3 linked regions of the Caenorhabditis elegans genome follow. The protein of the gene in region 1 interacts with the protein of each later gene in a pairwise test. Each region holds a gene or a part of one and is shown on either strand. Other genes may lie near its edges.

What was found.
Region 2: the proteins of mus-81 (region 1) and eme-1 interact in a two-hybrid assay, tested with the Caenorhabditis elegans proteins (one study listed by BioGRID).
Region 3: the proteins of mus-81 (region 1) and him-18 interact in a two-hybrid assay, tested with the Caenorhabditis elegans proteins (one study listed by BioGRID).

Annotation. Positions count from the first base shown.
Region 1 is NC_003279.8:4,263,082-4,267,804, reverse strand, and holds mus-81 (Crossover junction endonuclease MUS81), read right to left. Parts: upstream 2,697-4,723; coding exon 2,632-2,696; intron 2,586-2,631; coding exon 2,458-2,585; intron 2,398-2,457; coding exon 1,967-2,397; exon of another isoform or gene 1,400-1,966; coding exon 1,079-1,399; intron 1,024-1,078; coding exon 631-1,023; 3' UTR 567-630; downstream 1-566. Other genes in the region: C43E11.9 (60S ribosome subunit biogenesis protein NIP7 homolog), read left to right, coding at 10-311, 358-475; met-1 (Histone-lysine N-methyltransferase), read right to left, coding at 3,479-3,556, 4,024-4,723.
Region 2 is NC_003279.8:626,396-631,025, reverse strand, and holds the start of eme-1 (ERCC4 domain-containing protein), read left to right. Parts: upstream 1-1,581; coding exon 1,582-1,682; intron 1,683-3,662; coding exon 3,663-3,888; intron 3,889-4,630.
Region 3 is NC_003281.10:4,712,031-4,717,030, forward strand, and holds him-18 (SAP domain-containing protein), read right to left. Parts: upstream 3,159-5,000; 5' UTR 3,148-3,158; coding exon 3,089-3,147; intron 3,015-3,088; coding exon 2,959-3,014; intron 2,908-2,958; coding exon 2,787-2,907; intron 2,743-2,786; coding exon 2,650-2,742; intron 2,603-2,649; coding exon 2,269-2,602; intron 2,224-2,268; coding exon 1,161-2,223; intron 1,069-1,160; coding exon 791-1,068; intron 743-790; coding exon 590-742; 3' UTR 550-589; downstream 1-549. Other genes in the region: T04A8.18 (F-box domain-containing protein), read left to right, coding at 1-29, 74-232, 278-497; emb-5 (Suppressor of Ty 6 homolog), read right to left, coding at 3,557-3,747, 3,800-4,619, 4,672-4,845, 4,893-5,000.

The DNA of each region.
Region 1 (4,723 bases):
GTTCTTCAGGAACGTGTCTATTACTGTTCGGAAAATCTGATGCGTCAAGCCGCCTGCATTGCCCGTGAGCCACTTCTCTCTTTTGGAACTTGCTTGGGAAAGTTCACCAAAAGCAAAAAGTTCCATCTCCAAATCACCGCTCTCGACTATTTGGCGCCGTATGCCAAGTTCAAGGTGTGGCTGAAGCCGAACGCCGAGCAGCAATTCCTTTACGGAAACAACATTCTCAAGTCTGGAATCGCAAGAATGACCGACGGAACTCCAACTCATGCTGGAATCGTCGTATACTCGATGACCGATGTTCCATTGGGGTATGTTCACATTTAATATTCAAGTTAATTAAATATATTTCTCTAGATTCGGAGTGTCAGCGAAAGGAACATCAGACAGTAAGCGTGCCGATCCAACTGCTCTCGTCGTTCTACATCAATGCGATCTTGGAGAGTATCTCAGAAATGAGAGTCATCTCGCTTAATCGGATTTTGGTCTCCATTCAAAAATTTTAAATTCCACAATTTTTCATTTTTCATTGTTATTCTCTTGTTGATGTTGTTTTTGTTGGTCTTCCTTTCAAAATTTTTCATTCAATTATAAAAAATTCAATCTAATTCTGATTCATTCAGGATTCACTTATTGAACAAAAAATTTGAAAAGGTTACGAGTAATAGGCCTAGTTAGTTGAGGTAAAAGCTGAAGAAGTCGAATCGGTGCATCGTCTCCATTTGCACGAAAATATGAAAGCAGGGATACCATGGATGGAAATCGATCGGCAATTGCTTCGGCTCGATTCTGAGACATTCCCGGGCAAACCATCAGCTGTCGGACCCAAGCTTCTTTCACAGTTTCCGCCTTCTTTTTCTGGAGAAGATTCTGGAGTTGGCTGAATGGAACACCCGAAATTTCTTCTATGGCCGCTTTGTTCTGCAAACGAATCGTCACTTCCTTGAGAAATGCAGCTGTGTCTCGAGTATCAGAGCATCTTTGAATAAGATATCCTCCATTGGAAAGAGTTGATGCTACGGCCTGGAATTTTTGTTAGAATTTTGAAAAATCATCAGATTCTAATTCTATATTCTACCTGTTCGCAAGCAACATCTCCTTTATGTTGAGCTTCAATCAAATAAACTCGATTCTTCATCGGAGCCATATTCAATCGTCCTTTCTGCTCATCATATCTACCTCCACGAATACTTGATTGCAGATCATCCCAAGTTTTCCGTTCTACAACCCAATCCATCACAATCTCAGTTCCATCAATCTTTCGACAAATCCATATGTAATCTCCAACGGAAAGAGAACGAATATCAACTCGAATATCTTCTTTTTTCACGAGATGCTCGATTACCGACTTGAAACGTGGATTGTTGCGATGCTCACGATTGTCTGCGATTAGATAGACCTGGAAAAATACCTCGTTTTTTTTTAATTTGAAGGTGGAGTAAATAGCTGACCATTTTTTCGACACCAAAACATTGGGTTTTTGATGAAAATTTGGTTTTTTGTTGGTATTTCACTTTTTGCACTGCAACGATTTTTGCATATTTTTGTTAATCGTTTTTAAAAAATATTGTTAAATGTTTTTTTTTCGAGCTCAAAAATGTTCAAGTTTCAAAATCTTTTTCGATAAATTTCGAAGGAACGGACGAAAACTTATGAAAAATGGCAGAAGTTTCTGCAACTTATTAGGAGTTGGGAGCTACAGTACTCCTGAATATTAGTCGCTTCGAGATCGGGTACCGTATGCAAAAACCGCAAAATCTCGCGAGCCAACCAATAAGCGTCTTCCAACTCCGCCCACTCCATCTGATTGCTGGGGCGGAGCTATTCGCTGATTGGTCGGACAGTTCTCATTTCGGAGGGAGTTCAAAAATCTTTTTTTTTTAATTTTCCATTGGATTTTCTATTACTTGCCGATTTTTTTCTATTCTGGAATCCTTTTCTGCAAAAATTAGATTTAAATACTAACAGTTGGCTGCTCAAAAGGTCGACAAGTGAGAAGTCTGAAAGATAATGGATCTGATGAATTAGATGATGATGAGGAAGTAGACGAAGAAGACGAAAGATTTCCACTTTGTGATCGTATCAAGCTCGGCTGGACGGGCTTCGAAACTTGAAAGCTTTTCGTTTTAGTGAGTGGAACACTTGGTTGCTTGTCATCATCTCCATCCGATTCGAATTCATTTTCTATATCAACAATGGTTTTCGTTGATTTCTGTTTTTCCAATCTTTTCGCATCCTTCATCCGTTCTGTTGTTGATTTTCGATTTGTTAAGAACCGGCGATAATCGTCTGTCGTGAATTTTTTGATGCTTCGTAGAGTTGGATCCTGGCCATTGTTCTCTCGGCAGGCGACGTTCCACGTTTCTTCCAATTTTAGAGCAATATTCTCTCCGATTCCTGAAAATTCAATATATAGATTTTAAAAATCTGGAATTCGATTTTTTTATTTATTAATACCCTGCACATTTTTCAAATCAACAATTGTCAGAATCTCGAATGGGCACTTTCTCAGATTCTCGTGAGCTTTGTGCAGAACATATTTGAGCTTCCGATCTTCTTGCTCTTGATGTTGGAATTTTAAAACTCTGAAAATTGACGAATAATTTCTTTGGATCAAAATTTGAAAATTACTTTTCGAAAAAAGTGTTCTTCGAATGCTCAATTCTCACTGTGACCCGTTTTGATTGATTCGACATCTGAATAGAAAAATTTAGGAATATCTCAACGCGCTCCATGGCTAATCGAAAACACTCCGCCCCCGAGCCATGGGTCTCGTTAGGAATTTAATTAATTTCGGAAATGTCTGCAATTTTCAAGCATTTTTCGTTATGTTTTCCGTTGTTTTTAATTAGTTTTTCGTTGGAATTGATAAAAAATTGAGTCATGAATAAAAAAATTAGTCGCGAAGTAATAAAACATTTGAATTTACGGTAAGTCTGCCAAATACCTAACGAGACCCATGGTTCGAGGGCGGAGAGTCTCTATTGATCGTGGAGCGCAGTTACACTTCGATTTGAAAAAAGGGGACTTCGAAAAAAAATTTAGCGTAAAAATAAGCAGTATAGAATCTGAAAAACTTCCACAATTTTTCTTTAAAAAAATAAATTTAAAAATTCAACATCCGTAATTCATTTTTTAATTACAAAAAAAAATTTGGCGACAAAGAGCGGCGCAAATACGATCAACAAGAAAATAGAAAACATGAAAAACAGCTTTTCATGGCTGTCATTTTGAGGTGGATTACAGGATAGTATAAAACAATTCTGGGGACATAAAACTAGGGGAATAAAATGTGCGAACGTTGAAGTTCAGGAACATGATGATATACTCGTTCAATGGGATCAAATAAAACGGAAATCGGTGAAATCAGACAGAGATCAATTTTTAGGCGATAGGGGAGGGGGGGGATAGGAGGGAACTATAGAGAAAAAAACAAGCATAAACATTTTTTTATAAAATTTAAATTAAAAAATAAAGCTCATGGCCGAGAGTATTCTTTCCAGAGATCGTTTGATTCGAGTTTTCGGTCGATATATGACTTGACGTAGTTTTTCACCTGAAAAATAATATAAAGTAATTTTTGTGTTTTGAGAAAAAGGTTGAATTTTGTCCTGAAGGACAGGATTTTTTTTAGAATTCTTCTAAATTTTTCAAAACTTTTGTACCGTTTTCTATTTAAATTGCATTATTTTTGAATTTCATCAGATATCATATTCATTCTGATTGATGATTCGAAACATTAATTGTCCGAAAAAAAACGTTAAAAATCTAAAATTGGCAGAAAAATCTATAATTTTTGCGGAAAAATGTTCAAATTAGTTTTAAATTATCAATTTTTATGTCAAATAAAATTTTTTAAAATGAAGTTTGGTACTTTGGAAAAAAATTTATTTTTTGGTTTTTCCAAAAAAAAAGACCAAAAAACCTAAAAAATTGCACTCTTTCATTGTTTTTTTTTAAATTCAAGCATCAGATTTTTTTGGTTTTTTTTTCAATTGTTTATTTTTTGGTCCATAATATTACCTTCTTATCAGTATTCTCACTGAATCGATAATCAAATCCACTCTGCGCACTTTCTCGTTTGAAAATCTCTCGATATATTAACTTAATAAGCCAAGTAGTCTTATCACTAGAAGCGTCACGTTGATGTTGTAGACGAGAACGAACGGCAGATCGAGTGGATCGTTCCAGCTCATGTTTGAACTCTCGCATACGTCGTTCACTGACAGAACTGCTGCCGTTTCGATGTCCATGATAACTATCACGATGTTTTGAACCTTCTCTTCTGTCACGATCTCTTTCACGATCTTTCTCACGAGATTTCTCTCGATCCTTCTCACGATCACGAGAAGATTTTGGCGACGGTGATCTTTCAACTTCAACTTTCGGTACAACAACTCGAACTTTCTCCGGAGATTCTTTTTGAGTTTCAGATTGTGAACCTGGCTCGATAACTTCTTCCTTAACAACACGCGGCTTCTCCAGAACTTCAGCTTGTTGCTCTTCTTCAGTAATCTCGTCAGCAATGACAACTGTAGTATCAGGAGATGCACCACAAGCCGGTTCGAGAAGACCTTGAACTGGTGTTGGTGCTGTCCACTGCGTCTCTTTTGTTATTTTGTTGTAGTAATACGTCTCTCCAGCTTCTGACTTTGCAATCGCCCAAACATATTTCGTCTTTGCAAGTGCCTCTTGTCGTTTAGCTTCTTCTTCGTTAGCACGA
Region 2 (4,630 bases), 3.6 Mb from region 1:
ACCACGCTCTCCTCAAAGCCGAATAATTATTAGAGCGCGCTTGCAGCGTCTCGCGTTTCTGCATCCGCGGTATTTTGCCTTTCCACTGAAATGAGCAGCTTTTTTAGATTTATCGAATTTTTAGCTTTTAAATTTTTTTTTCTGTTTTTTTCGAACAAACCTTTTGTTAAACAGTAAAAATCGAAATTAAAATGACTAAAATGAACTTTTTTCGTCCACTGGTTGCGAAATGGTTCGAATTTGAAGAAATCAGCGGGATTTTTCGTATTTTCTGAATATTTTTCTATTAAAAATCGGTTTTAAACCATTTTTTGACCCTAATGTTAAGTCAAAAATGTATTAAAACCAATTTTTAATAGAACAATATTCAGAAAATACGAAAAACCCCGTTGATTTCTTCAAATTCAAACCATTTCACAACCAGTGGACAAAAAAAGTTCATTTTAGTCATTTTAATTTCGATTTTTACTGTTTGACAAAAGGTTTGTTCGAAAAATACAGAAAAAAAAAATTTTAAACCTAAAAATTCGATAAATCTGAAATATCTGCTTTCTTCAGTGGAAAGTCAAAATACCGCGGATGCAGAAACGCGAGTCGCTGCAAGCGCGCTCTAATAATTATTCGGCTTTGAGGAGAGCGTGGGCTCTGCACCTGAAAAATCGGAAAAAAATCCCCCTTTTCTCATGAAAACCAACCCACCTTGTTACCTTACATGTTACATACTGTCGCGACAGAACGATCGCTCCGCCAATTTTGCATGCGGCAAAGGGGCGTGGTTTATTGGGGGCGGGATTCCGGCGCAACCCTGCGGCACGCTTTTTTCTCGCTTTTTTCATGCGGTAATTTTCAGTTATTTTTATTCGTTTTCTGTTCGAAATTTCACGATTTCGCTCGATTTTGTTCGTTTTTTCGGATAAAAAAGTGTCTATTTTTAAATGAAAAATAACCAAGTTTTATCAGTTTTTACTTGAAAAAATGCTTCGTTTGTCTCTTTTTCTGTAATATACGAAGCAAAACGTTAAAAAAACGCTTTCTCTTCACATTTTCCTTTTTTTCCCCCATTTTCTCTCTTAACAATCGTAATTTACAGAAAGAGAGACCAACAAAGCATTTTTCGGGTAAAATCTGTGAAAACTTGGTTATTTTTCATTTAAAAAATAGTTGGACACTTTTTTATCCGAAAAAACGAACAAAATCGAGCGAAATCGTGAAATTTCGAACAGAAAACGAATAAAAATAACTGAAAATTACCGCACGAAAAAAGCGAGAAAAAAGCGTGCCGCAGGGTTGCGCCGGAATCCCGCCCCCAATAAACCACGCCCCTTTGCCGCATGCAAAATTGGCGGAGCGATCGTTCTTTCGCGACTGTATATTTACTCCTTTTTTCGCTCCACGCTTTGTCAAAAATTTTTTCTTTCCCCCCCCCCCCCTGACTTTTTGAAACAAAAATGAATTTAAATTACACGATTTACACGATTTACCCGAAATTTCCAAAAAAATCCCCAAAATTTTTTTTATTGTAAAAAAATCAATTTAAATATATGATTTTCTACAAAAAATCGATATTTTCCCACTATTCAGATGGACGAGGCGATTGTAGTCCTCTCGGATGATGATGATGATGAGGACTGTATTATGATTGAGGAAACGACGAATGTGACGGCGGGAAATTTGGAGAAATTGTGAGAAATTTCACAGAAAATCGATATTTTTAAAGGCGCATGGACTTGGGTCTCGCAGCGAAAGTTGTCTGGATTTTTCGAGTTTTTAGATGATTTTTTAGCGGAAAATAATCGATTTTTCGAAAGTTTTATGAGAAATTTGAATTTTTCGCAGAAAAAATCAGATTAATTTTGCGAAATTTTGATGTTTTTACCGGAAAAAGCCGAATTTCGATTAAAAATTTAACAAAAAATCGATATTTTTAAAGGCGCAGGGACTTTCAGGAGCCTTGGGTCTCACAGCGAAAATTTTGGGGATTTTTCGAATTTTTTAGATGTTTTTTAGCGAAAAAACGACAAAAATAGGTTTTTCCAGAAAAAAAAAATCAATTTTTCAAAAGTTTTATGAGAAATTTCGCTTTTTCGCACAAAAAATCAGACTAATTTCGCAAAATTATGATTTTTTACCGGAAAAAAAGCCAAATTTCGATTGGAAAATTTAACAAAAAATCGATATTTTTAAAGCCACACGGACTTGGGTCTCACAGCGAAAATGCTCTGGATTTTTCGAATTTTTTAGATGGTTTTTTTGGCGAAAAAACGTAAAAAAAGAGAAATTTGAATTTTTTGCACAAAAAATCAGATTAATTTCGCAAAATTATGATTTTTGCTGAAAAAAAAAACCTGATTTCGATTGAAAAATTTGAAAAAAATCGATAATCTTAAAGGCGCATGCACTTTGGGTCCCACAGCGATAATTCTGTGGATTTTTCAAATTTTTTAGATGTTTTTTTAGCGGGAAAAACGGAAAAATTAGGGGTTTTCTTTTTAAAAAAATTGATTTTTCAAAAGTTTCTTTGAGAAATTTCACTTTTTCGCAGAAAAAATCTGATTAATTTCGCGGGAAAATTTAACAAAAAAAAAACGATATTTTAAAGGCGCAGGGACTTTGAGGAGCCCAATTGGGTCTCACAGCGAAATCTATTTTCGCTGATTTTTTTTCCAAAAAACTAATTTTTCAACGATTTTTTTAAAGAAAAAATTAATTGAATTTCAAAATTTCAGGAATTTTTCAACAAAAAACTATGGAAAAATTTATTTTAAAAGTTTAAAATTTTGAAAATCCAAAAAAAATCAATTCACAAAAAATCGAAAATTATTGATTTTTTCCGAAAAAATTACAAAAAAATCGATAATTATTGATATTTTACAAAAAATTCACAAAAATCGATAATTATTGATTTTTTCCAAAAAAAATCACAAAAATCGATAATTATTGATTTTTCCAAAAAAAAAATCACAAAAAATTGATAATTTTTGATTTTTCCGAAAAAAATCACAAAAAATCGATAATTATTGATATTTTACAAAAAATCACAAAAATCGATAATTATTGATTTTTCCAAAAAAAAATTCACAAAAAATCGATAATTTTTGATTTTTCCGAAAAAAAATCACAAAAAATCGAAAATTATTGATTTTTTTCAAAAAATTCAAAAAAAAATCGATAATTATTGATTTTTTTCAAAAAATCCACAAAAAATCGATAATTATTGATTTTTTCCAAAAAAAATCGAAAACTATTGATTTTTTACAAAAAATCCACAAAAAATCGATAATTATTGATTTTTTTCAAAAAATCCACAAAAAATCGATAATTTTTGATTTTTTCGAAAAAAAATCACAAAAAATCGAAAATTATTGATTTTTTTCAAAAATTCACAAAAAATCGATAATTATTGATTTTTTTTTTCAAAAAATCGAAAATTATTGCCTTTTTTCAAAAAATCGATAATTATTGATTTTTTTTCGAAAAATTTCCACTGTTGTTACAACAAAAGTTTAAAAATTTGAAAATCCAAGAAAAAAAATCAATTTTCGTTGTGAGACCCGAAGTTTTTTGAATTTTCCAATCGAAATTTATCGATTTTTCCGATTTTTCCCCATCAAAAAAATCGATAAAAACCGATAAAAAATCAATAAAAAATCGATAATTTCCAGGTACTCCGCGAGCTTTTCCATCGTCGACGCAGTGAATAAGGATGCAATTCCAGCTGCGGCAAAAACATGGCTGGATGAGGGAATGCTCAATCTTGACGAAATGATCCGTCAGAATCAGACGAGCTCATACTCGTTGTGCTCAAGCTCACAAGAGAATACTGACATAAATGTCGTGGCGAGACCCGAAAAACGGAAACTAACCGACGATGAGAAGGAGACGCAGAAAGTATTGATTTTTTGATACATTTTGCGATTTTTTTGGAAAATTTCACCGAAAAATCAAAAGTTCCATCGCAAAATTCGAGAAAATCTATTTTTTTTGGGTCTCGCAGCGAAAATCGATTTTTATTCCGAAAAAAATTGTTAAAAGTTGAAGAAAATCTTAAAAATTTGAAAAATCCTCTAAATTTTCGAGGTGGGACCCAAAATATCGTAATACCAAAAATATTTTTATACCAAAATATTTTTTCTGATTTTTCAATCGAGAATTGGTTTTTTTCTCGCGAAAAAAAAACTGAAATTTTTACGAAAACTGAAAAAATTGTTGAAAAAACAATTTTTTTTTGATTTTAGACAATTTTCCCTTTAAAACTGTCAAAAAAATACGTTTTTCAGCGAAATTTTATCCAAAAAATTTGAAAAATCCACTTTTCGCTGTGAGACCCAGGAGAGCGCATGCGCCTTTAAAACTATCGATTGTTTTTTTGAAAAATTGATAAAAATTCGGCTTTTCCGCCTAAAAATCAATAATTATCGATTTTTGTGATTTTTTTTGGAAAAAATCAATAATTATCGATTTTTGTGATTTTTTTTTTGAAAAAAATTAAAAATTATCGATTTTTTGTGAATTTTTTGTAAAAAATCAATAATTATCGATTTTTTGTAATTTTTTTTTGTAAAATATCAATAATTATCGATTTTTTGTGATTTTTTTTTAAATTAAAAAATTATCAATTTTTTTGTGAATT
Region 3 (5,000 bases), on another chromosome or scaffold:
ATTCTCATTCTTCATGACTCTTTTGTTAGGTGAATTATAGATTTTTAATTTTTATAAATTTCTGAATTTCCAGCCAAGAAAGAATGCGTGACTATATTGACAAATGGGCACACGGTGGTGTTTCCGATAAGTTCTGTTGGTGGGCTATAAGTACTCATCTCGAATTGGAAGTAGAAGAAGTGATTGATCGACTAATTGTGGAGTTTGTTGAAGCTAAATATGGACCTAAATTGTTAGAATTTAGACATTCTAAAGGTTTTATATTTCTTATTTTCAGCTGTATTGCTGAAGAGAACCCGAAAAAGCCGCAACCAGTGCAAACTGTAAAAATGGTAAGATATGTAGTGTACAGCGCCTTGGATCCAACAAAGATTGCACATTTGTACATTCGGGATAAAATGGTACTCTTCGCGAATACTGGATGTGCTCCAAGAATTGACGAATATGGATTAATTACTTACAGAACTAGATCAGGAATTAACGAAACTCAATTCTAATTTTTTTTTGTATTTTTTGAATTTCTCTGATTTTCCGTGAAAACATATTATATTCCTAATTATCTCTTCATAAAATTGCATGGAAAAAATTGTTATAGTCTTCTTTTGTAGCCGCCACGTGCTCTTCCCGTCTTCTGTGGAAGTTGGTACGTGATTTTCAGCATTTCCAGTAATTTCACCAGTTTTCCTTTTCCAATCCTTCCAAGTGGGCCGTCAGCTTTCTCTAGACGAATCAACATTTCTTCCTGAAAATTTACAATAAACAAAGAGTTGTGGAAACTTTGGAATCTAACCAAGGATACAGGTTGGAGTGAGAGAATGTGCTCATGTAAAACTGTATTCTGATCACTTCGAAGCCATGTTAAAAATGCCAATTTCAATGCACTCAAGTCATGTTTGCCACTGGTACTGGAAGCTGACATATCATCATCATCTTCTTCATCGTCTCCAACGTCATCACCGCAAATTTTTCCAACTTCTCGCTCGTCATTTGATATATTCAATGTTTTATCACCATCATTATCTTCATCCAGATCATCGGAAACATTGGATACATTTTTGGAAGTTTCATCTGAAACTATTATATAATATTAATATCCTTCTAAAGCAACTAGATAAAATGTCTAGCAATTTTTCAATTTAATTGAAAATGAATAAACTCACCAGAAATAGCATTCTTGACTCCTTGCTTTTTAGGAGAAACTTTCTTCGGCGATGCAATCATTCTTTCACTTAATGTCTTCGTCTTGATTGTTTTCCTTCCACCCTTTCCTCCTTGTTCCGAAACCTTTTCTAAACTTGCAGATCTGACAAGCGGACGAATTGTAGGTGTTCCTGAGCAAATTTCTGGATGTAATGTGATATATGCTTTCTTCAGAATCTGAATCATCGCTTTCTTTCCTTTTGGCCGCATCCCGATCTCTTTCATTCGTTCTTTTAATTCTGCTTCTTCCATTGAATCGAATGCAGGCATTGGAGTTATATCATTGGTCTTCAGAATTTTGACATGGGATCCGAAGACAGCTTTTGAGGTAATGTTGCGGATTGGAGTAATGACATTGGATGTAGTTGGAAGATTTGTAGACGGTTGATTGCTCCATTCATCGAATGAATCCATTGTCACATTAGTAGTTGGTTTCTGTGGAGTAGAGTGTACTGATTCATGTGGTTTATCTTCCATGATTTGTTCTGCATCATCTTCCACATTTTCGACAGCTTTTCCGAATCCAAAGAAAGGATCATCAGATGTGAAGTAGTTCACAGATTTATCAAGTTCGATTGGGTCGCTATGAGACGCAGTTGGCTCTATTTCTACAGGATCAGCTACTACAGAATCTATCTTAGCTTCAGGCTCTACCACGTCCTCAACATCATCGACTTTCTCAAGATCTTCCTCCTTATCATTTTTCACAATCAAGTCTAATCCTACAGGTCCATACTTCGAAGCCAAATCCCTCACACCATCCTTATCATCATCATTCCATTCGATATTTGCAGTGAATACAAATGAAATCCATGCTTTCACAACTTCTTTTGTGTGCTCGACTTGAATATTTTCAGATTTAGGGTTCAGTCTGATAAGTGATGTCCGATGTTTCAAGATCATTGTCTGACATTTTACACGATGACCATCACTGCAGGTAATGAAAATGTGAGTTGGTAATTGTTCAGAATTGTCATCAAGAACTTTTTGCATGTCAGATGAGAGTTGTTCGTATCGGGAAATCTGAAAAAGTGATTTTTTTTAAATTATAATAAACTAGAAAATTACTTTTTCAATCATTTTCTTCATTTGAAACGCATGCTCAGTCACTCCTTCCTCTCGTTTCTTTTGATTTTTGATAGATTTACTGTGAAACTCGTCAATAAATCTTGAATGAAGTGTCGTAAGAACCTCACATTGACACTTTTTCGGTGCCAATTCCACAACTGCAAACGATCGAGGACGCTTCCGTTTTCGGTTTTCCTCATCATCCTCAGCGATTCGTGCAAATTTCACGTTGTTCTTCGATAGCTCCCATGATTTTGGAAGTTCCTGTGGTTTTTCGAAAGGTTTTTCAAATAGATGAGTCTTTGAAGATGGCTTCTCATAAACTTGATCATCTCTGAAATATGTTTTTGCATCACAGAATATCCTTCTACTGAAACTAACTTTTCTATGGTTTCGGTGAGTGTTTTCGATTTTCTTGTAGTTTCCTTCTCCTTCTCTGATTGTTTCGCTTTGCAAACTTTTACATGAATATCTCTAAAATTTGAACAGTGAGAAGAAACACAAATAATATTTCAAACCTTCTGGAATTCATCCAAAGAGTCATATCTCGTGCACACGTCGCACATTTTACAGGTTTCTTAGCCGGTGCTTCTTCATCATCGTCGCTCAGTGTGATCTCTTCGAAAGGAGAAGGAACATCTCAAAAAGTAAATTAATTGATTTAATTGGGAAATTTGATTTGAAACTTACTTTTGTCAGATTCATTTCTTACAATACTCTGCACACTTCCAAGTTTTTGAGGACGCCTAGAAAAAAAGACAGATATTTTTTAATTTACGTTTAGGTTAAATAGATACGACAGAAACAAAAACCTTACTACCTTGGCGCGGATGAGATCGAGTTTTGGGACAGTGCCTTTTTTAGTGATGAATCATTCATATGAGTAGAATCTAGAATACTTTTTTTTCTTCTAAAACTGAATTTGCAATTCTTATTCCAATATCAATTGTGATCAACGCATTCTACGTTTTTTCGTGATGATTTAGCAGTGATTCTGATTACGAAATTTATTGAGTAAACAACAAAAATGGTACTTGAATACAGAAAGAGCTCATGAACAGTATGACTGCTTGAATAAATATTTTGATAGATATATAAAAATGTTTGAAAAGTAAAAATCGAGGATGAACGGATTACCGAAATCAAAACAAATTATGTGGGATTAAGACAGATGGATGTTGTATTCTATAAATTAAAATTAGATCATCGTTGATAGACTGGAACAAAGGAAACAGGATTGAATGTGTCTGATAAGGTGTGGGTAATAAAGAGAATAAGATCAGGGTTTTCAGTGATAGCCGACGAATTGAGGAGGATAGTATGGAGCTGCTGGAGGAGCACCAACTCGATACTGTGGAGCCGGGATCGCAGATCGCCTTAACTCGATGGGAGGCTCGTGGAAATGGCGTTTGAACCAAGCCATCATTCGATCTAGCGTATCAAAGTTTTGATGTCGGAATCGGACTCCATGTGGGACAACTGTAAACAAAAATAGTTGAAAACTTTGTTCGTATCTCTTTTCGAAACTCACTTTTGAAATATTCATGTCGAATCCGTTCTGTATTATCGAACATATAAGAAATACAGAATTGGCATGGCTGTCTGTAGGATGCACTGAATACGTACGGAGATCGTCCCAGCTCTCGTTTCTTCTCTCGTACAAATTGCTCGACTGCTTCTGTTTCTTCGCATGTTCCATTTGGGAAGAAGTACTTGTGAGTTGTTATCTCGTGAGAGATCTGTATCATCGGTTGAACGAATCGAGCAATCAACTCATCAAGATCCTCGAAATCTTCTCCGCCGACTGAGAGTTGCCGACCAATGGAGAAAACTTGATCCTTTGCGGATTCTTTGACAAAGAAATTGTGATAGACGCGGTCACAAATCTTCCATGTCACAGAAAGACCAGAATCTTTATTAGCCGATGGACGAATAATACACTCAGACCAATCCATTTCATCCAACATTTTCGTAGCAGCTTCGTAGGATACATTATGGAAATTTGGATGCGCAATTACTCGCTTCACACGTGTATTTGCTTCTGTCTTCTTTTTCGATTCACTCTTCATCAGTTCCAAATCAGCTTGGTATTGATGCTCATCCCAGTACTGATCACGTTGAGATAAATCATCTTCTTTCAGATCCGAACTCTTACAACTTAGGAATAGTGAGAATCTCTCCTTGTCCAACTTGAGAACTTTGAAGTAATATGGCTGATTTATCTTGACTCGGGTTAATGGATTGTCTACGTGACTTGATGAGATGTTCTTGTTCGGACAGAATCCAGTCATTCCATTGTCAAATCTGACTCGAATTCCGACTGGTGTTCCAGGACATCCACCTTGACGAGACTGAAATAATTTAACATTGGTTAACGAATAGTATTAGTTGAGAAAAACTTACGTCACCGAGCATATGTTCTTGAATTCCACCAGGAGCCGAAGATGTGAACGATTTACAACATGGACAAGTGAAAAGACCATCTTCTCCAACATCAGGTAACATGCTGTCTGCTGCATCTTTGTCAACTTTACGGTACTGCACAGATTGAACTGTTCCCAACACTTTAGCTCCTTCCTGCAAAAATAAAAATAAAATCGACAGAATTATTACAAGTAACATACTCTAATTTCTTTTCCTGAACGAGCCAAAAGATCATACAAAAGCTCTCCGGTAGGTTCTTGGAATGGTTGCCGAAGATCTTTATATCTCGCACTCAACTCGCTTGAGAT